Linked DNA regions of Daphnia pulex. The protein of the gene in region 1 purifies or fractionates together with the protein of each later gene. This does not show direct contact. Links are inferred from orthologs where the notes say so. Each region holds a gene or a part of one and is shown on either strand. Other genes may lie near its edges.

What was found.
Region 2: the proteins of probable 18S rRNA (guanine-N(7))-methyltransferase (region 1) and multifunctional methyltransferase subunit TRM112-like protein purify together in Homo sapiens (affinity purification with mass spectrometry; 5 studies listed by BioGRID and IntAct, counting the BioPlex papers as one, with this or other methods). This does not show direct contact. The link is inferred for Daphnia pulex from reciprocal best matches to the Homo sapiens genes BUD23 and TRMT112.

Annotation. Positions count from the first base shown.
Region 1 is NC_060028.1:9,638,497-9,641,916, forward strand, and holds probable 18S rRNA (guanine-N(7))-methyltransferase, read left to right. Parts: upstream 1-1,369; 5' UTR 1,370-1,521; coding exon 1,522-1,560; intron 1,561-1,624; coding exon 1,625-1,662; intron 1,663-1,722; coding exon 1,723-1,901; intron 1,902-1,959; coding exon 1,960-2,219; intron 2,220-2,289; coding exon 2,290-2,531; intron 2,532-2,593; coding exon 2,594-2,744; 3' UTR 2,745-2,792; downstream 2,793-3,420. Other genes in the region: 2-hydroxyacyl-CoA lyase 1-like, read left to right, coding at 3,242-3,328.
Region 2 is NC_060017.1:6,066,604-6,069,665, reverse strand, and holds multifunctional methyltransferase subunit TRM112-like protein, read right to left. Parts: upstream 1,390-3,062; 5' UTR 1,307-1,389; coding exon 1,229-1,306; intron 1,168-1,228; coding exon 1,066-1,167; intron 986-1,065; coding exon 893-985; intron 838-892; coding exon 736-837; 3' UTR 731-735; downstream 1-730. Other genes in the region: tRNA-splicing endonuclease subunit Sen34-like, read left to right, coding at 1-253, 343-680; uncharacterized protein LOC124191043, read right to left, coding at 1,810-2,285, 2,351-2,443, 2,508-2,550. UniProt on the Homo sapiens protein: Acts as an activator of both rRNA/tRNA and protein methyltransferases. Together with methyltransferase BUD23, methylates the N(7) position of a guanine in 18S rRNA.

The DNA.
Region 1 (3,420 bases):
TAGTTAGTTGCTCTAGGATAGGAGCATTTGGATCGCTTTCTGGATCAATACGAAAAATGCGGATCGCATCATCACCAGAAGCTGTAGCAAGTAAACCCGTCTGGTGACACCATGAGATATCGTAAATGGCACGCGGATGAACTCCAGACAAAGTACAGACGCACTTCCAAGTTGGCATATTATCTGATGTGGCTACTCCGAATTCGTTTCCAGGGAGATATTCTTTCCAAATCTTGATTGTTCGATCATCGCTGCATGTCGCCAATAGTTTTCCTGTAGAATCAAAAGCCAAGCTCCAAACCGTCGATTCGTGTGATTTCAATGTTGCAAAACAAATCCAGTCGTCGTCCTCTTCACAAAACATCTTGACTGTGTTGTCGTAACTAGCTGAGGCCACAATATCTTGATGTGGATGCCAGACAACTTTTTTTACGTCTTGTGTGTGAGCGCTCAAGACCGCAGCGCATTCGAATTCTCCATCTTCGCCAACCTCCCATATCCATACACTTTTGTCTCTGCTGCATGTTGCCAAAAAAGAGCCAGATGCTGACCAAGCAACGCACTTTACTTCATTCTCATGGCCCTCTAAAGTTGCCGTGCATTCATATTGATTGCCTTCCGTGCTAGTACTCTTGTCCCAAATGCAACAAGTACCGTCGAAACTTGCAGAAGCAATAAGCTTGTTACAGGGAGAAAAGGAAACGGATCGAATAGTGCGTTGGTGTCCATCCGACAAAATCGAACGACACACCCAGTCATTGGAATTGACATTCCTTCCCCAAAGCCGAATGGTTTTATCTTCACCACATGAAACCAAAATATTTCCTTCTTGATTCCATCCTACATTCCACACAATTCCTTGATGGCCTGGCAATTTGCAGAGCTCGTCTAGTCTTGCCATTACAAACACTATATTAAATGTATATGTGCTACCTGGAAAGAGATCAAAAATTTAATTATATTTAAGGGGAGCAAAGAAATGCATTCGTGCAGGTATTTTCGGAATTGGAAAATTTCTTCACAAGTTGATTAATTTACTGTTAGTGTTAGTCCACTTCACTTAACAATATGGATTTGTACACACATCACACAAAATGTGTGCCAACAAAATAACAACATGTAACTTAGTCAATCTAGTTTTGCAGTAAAAGATTATTACCAAAATATTTTTTGGGGGTGATCGAATTTGATCACGAATGCACGATGTGTTTCCTGGGACGATTCAAGTTACGGAGATAAGATACGCAATGCTTGCTCACGTCCACATTGGTAATGGTATGTGCTTCTGCTTCGACCCGCATGTCAGACGAAAATAATAATGAAACATTACGTTCTAATTACAACCACAAGATGGCATCTTTCTTTCTTCGTCTGCTTCGCCTTATGTTCACAAGTCACAACACATGTGCGCGTGAACTTGTCTAAAAAATAAAAAATTTGGTTTTGTTTATATTCGCAATAAAATCTGTTTGATTTTATTTACATTCAGATATAGTATTTTGTACTTAACAGATCAGAACAATGTCTGGGCGTCCGGAGCATCAAGCCCCACCAGAAATTGTAAGTTTGTCAGGATGTTTTCGTTTGATAAAATAATTTCTTTACATTGTGTAATTTTTTGTAGTTCTACGGTGAAGATGAAGCCCGTAAATACTCTCGAAAGTATGTACAACCTAAGTTAAATTTTTTCACTTATTACATGTTGTGTGTTTTATAATACAGTACACGCATGATGGAGATCCAACTTACTATGTCAGAAAGAGCAGTTGAATTGCTGTGTTTACCTGAAAACCAGCCTTGTCATCTACTTGATTTGGGTTGTGGATCAGGTCTCAGTGGTGAAACATTGACCGAACAGGGGCATATATGGACAGGAGTTGATATTTCATCTGCCATGTTGGGTATTCAACAATTTGTGTACTTTGCAAATGAAATCACTTATTTATTCAATTCTAAAAGGAGTGGCAAAGGAAAGGGAAGTCGAAGGTGATCTCTTATTGGGAGACTTGGGTCAAGGTCTACCCTTTCGTGCTGGTGCATTTGATGGTGCAATCAGCATCTCAGCCTTACAGTGGTTAGAATTTTTTAAAGTTAGATGTTTCAATAATTATTGTCTTATATTTCATTTAATTGACTGCAGGTTGTGTAACGCAGACCAAAGGTCACATAATCCTGCAAAGAGACTGTACATATTTTTCTCATCATTGTACAGTTGCTTGGTTAGTTATTTTGAGATAGTGTGCTAATTTATATCATTTTTAATATTAAGGAGTTTTTACAAAAATTTAGAGCCGAGGAAGCAGAGCAATTTTCCAATTCTACCCTGAAAATAGTTCTCAAGTGGAGCTCATCACGTCGCAAGCAATGAAGGCTGGTTTCACAGGAGGACTAGTTGTTGACTATCCCAATAGTACCAAGGCAAAAAAGTTTTTTCTCTGTCTAATGACCGGAGGACAACAACCATTGCCTGCCGCTTTGGGAGTAGATTCGCGCGAAGATGCTCCTAATCATGTTGCATTTTCACAGAAAAGGTTTTCTTGATCATAAAATGCTATAATGTTACCAATTTGAATGTGTGTTTGTGCGTTTGCAGGGATCGGGTTAAACAACTGCGCTCAGGAAAGGCCCCTAAAAAGAGTCGTGACTGGATTCTAGAGAAGAAAGAACGCAGAAGACGACAAGGAAAGGAAACGAGAGATGACTCTAAATTTACTGGTAGAAAGCGACCATCTCATGTGTGGTAAAGTGTTTGTATCTTGTTAAAGATTCGTGAATACAATAACTTCGCGTCATTTTCTCTTTAAAAAAGCTCCGGAAACGGAAAGCCTTCGAAAGTATCGAATATTTTGCTGTTGCGAAAAAAAAAATAACCCAAAAATCTTTAATCTATCTATCAATCCCGAAACAGGTAGTACAGTACAGAGTGGTAATAGAATAGGGAAAACTGATAAATTGGAAATGGCTGGAATGAATCTGGTTAATTTTATAAATTGGCCTTTAAATAACAATAAACCTGGTCTGCACGCTGAAAAATGCATACAATCGACACATTATATAATCAATCTTTGAAATCGATACTCGATAGCGATACTAAAAATGTTGTAAACATAAGTCGTCCTCTCAGTCTCAGCTCTCATTCAGCGACTTGCTATTCTAGACTCTAGTATTCTGCTGTGAAAGAATTTAAGTTACCTATACATAATTATTTTTTTTTAATTGCATGGTTTAAACTGGTTTAAACATGAACCGCGTATTCTCAGTCACATTAAATTGTTGCATTGCTCGTCGATTTGACTCGTTTAAACCACTTGTCATTGCACCTCAATTTGTAAGTCTGGCAACATCAAAATAATCAGTAAAATATTTTTTAGAATAAATATTGACAATTTGACATTGAACGAACGAACTTAGTAGGCTATC
Region 2 (3,062 bases), on another chromosome or scaffold:
CAACTAAACCTTCCTGCTCAAGGACCAAACAAGGAGAAAATAGAGGAAATGCACAAAGCAAGCTTTGCTGACCAAGAAGTTATCTTTAAGGAAGAAAGAACCAAGCAGCTGTTACAAATGGCAGATAAAATCATTGAGGGCAAGAGAAGAAAAATGAATGGAAAGACTGTTGATGAGAAAATAGCCCTTCAAGAAGAAATAGACAAAATTCCTAAAATGTCTAAAGATTTGATGATGGTTCAAATTTTTACAAGTAAGAAATAATATTATCAGTCTTTATCAGATAAATAATGTTGTGATGAATGATCATTTGAATGATCTACTTTTTTGTTCTTGTTGTAGGGCCTCACTGGACATGTCAGGGGGAATCAGTATTGCCATTAGATTATAATGTTAGACCAACTCTCAGGTGTAAAGTGTTCAGTGACTTGTGGGAGAAAGGTTATTACATAACATCTGGTGAGAAATTTGGTGGTGATTACTTGGTTTATCCTGGTGATCCATTAAAATTTCATTCACATTTCATAGCTGTGTGTGTTGAAGAGCATCAGATGTTGACTCCTTGGTTTCTGATACAAAAAGGTCGTCTGGGAACAAGTGTTAAGAAAACTGTTTTAATGTGTAGCTTGGATGAGAATGATAAAGTAAATTATCAGTCTGTGAATTGGAATGGAAAATAAAGCACTATTTAAAAAATTGGACACATGTTGAATTGACTTGTATTTTCTACTTCAGTTACACTTCATCTTCATTAGCTAACATGTTTGGAATTCCATCAGTAACAGGGAATTTTCTCCCTGTCTCAGGACATATCAGATCTCCATTCATGACTTCAATCTAAATAAATGGTAAATAAAAAAATGGAACATAAATAAAATAAGAAGATTATTACCTCCATTAAAAAGTGGTGAGCTTTTTTCAAGAATTCTTCATTATTTTCATAGTCATCTACAACAGTTGGGGGAAGTTCATCAGTGTGTCCAAGCTAGATAATGTAGAAACAGAAAATCAACACATATTTAACCGTTTTTAAAGGGTAGCATTCAAATCGTGATTTCTTTTTACATTTTCTGCAGCTTTACAGAGAGCTGGCCAGTCCACTTTTTGAATCATCCGTGAAATGAATTCTGGGTTGAAATCAACTTCATTCACTTTAACTTCTTTTGCCTGTAAAACATATAAAGTATTTCATTTTGGTAAAAAAAATGATTAATCAAAGAGTACTTACAACAATGCCTAGAGGATACCCAACTGTTACGCCTTTCAGACATTTAGAAGTCAATATATTGTGAGTTAAAAGTTTCATTCTTAATTCGTTAAATTATTGAGCTCTTGACAGACGAACACACGTGTGTTTTCCAAAACAAATTTTCTACAAACCGCTGCCGTGCCGGACGGGGTTTACATTTTTGCTTTCACGGTTTCACCCCAGCCAGAGCAATAGATACCTGGTCGGTTCTCGGCCGTGTTGGCTTCCCTATCCCGGTTTCAGGGTAAACGTGGTCCGATTTGGAAAAAATGATGAGCGCCTCTAGTGAGTGTGTCAGGTACTACGTGAAGCCAGCCAATCAGGAAGGGTCTATGAAAAACTCATTGACCAATCACAGCTTACTTTTCTACAAGAAGTGAACAAAATAAAAAGGTAGAAGTATCCAACTGTCAAACCTCTAGGTCTTTTCTAAGTGTCCCAACATTCTTACATTTTATTGTTTGGTTGCGTAAATTGTTTATTCTTTGTAAGTGTCCAAACATTCTTACATTTTATTGTTTGGTTGTGTAAATTGTTTATTGTTCCGTTGACATAATACACTACTTCTTGTTTTGAAAGTGTACACTTTTCACATTATAATTTTCATTTGGTAGTTGATCCATCGAAATGCAAAAAATCGTTTGTTTAATTTGATCAAAATACCATGTCCAATTCTTTGGTACCATTGATGAAGTTACTAGTGACTGAAATGTCACAAAATTAGACTTGAAATTAGTAGAGCTTGCTTCCATAGAAGGTGATGTAACTGTCGAATCTTCAATGACAACAGCAACATTTTCGTTCATAACATCAGGAAGTGGATCAAAAATTGCTTCTTCAGCAGCCTGGTGGGTGTCCATTGATTCTTGAATAGTAGAGGTAGCTTCCACAGAAGGTGATGCAACTGTCGTATCTTCCATGACAACAGCAAGATTTTCCTTGATTGAATCTGGAAGTGGATCAAAAATTGCTTCTTCAGCAGCCTGGGGAATGTTGATTGATTCTTTAATAGTAGAGGTAATTTCCATGGAGGGTGCTATCAGATAAAATTTAAAGCAATTGCTCTTAAAAATAAAATGTAACGAGAACTATTATCAATACCTGTACTGTCAAATTTTTTTCTCTTAGACGTAGTAGGTATTTTGTCTACTTTTGGTCGTTTCCTTACTGATGCATTGCTAGCATTTGTTTCCACTACAATACATATTTAAGAATTGCGTTATTTGATATTAAACAAAATAAATATATTTAAAAATACCATTAATGTTATTTCTCCATTTGAAACCATCAACATTTTGCATTGCTTGTCGACTAGGTGTATCTAAAATGAAAATGGTTCAGTTTCTGTGCTTTACAGATTATACAGGAAATGTAATATCAATACCATTTATCAGAAAATGTTTGGGAATTGCTCCAGCATTACGATTCCTACGTTTGAAAGGATGGAACACGTTCAAAATTTAAATCCCTGATTTGAAGTCACTTTCGTCAAAATGACGGGAGCAAATACGTGAGGTGCTCGTCAAATAACTACATGGAATTAGTTCTCGCCATTTAGATAATGAAGTTTTAGGAATTGCAACCAGGGTAACCTCGTTTTCTTTTTGATTTCCTTTGAAATATGTTGATTTACAACCAGGAACAGCACACCTGCCAACCATTTTTACAGAAATTATGGTTAGGCTTCATTCACGTAATACACGATGATGGCCGCCGTATTCACATATTACACAAAAATGGCCGCCGAAAGTATTATTTGAAAGTCAACGTCTTATCACTAGATGGCGCTGTCTCATTTTTACCACTTCACAAC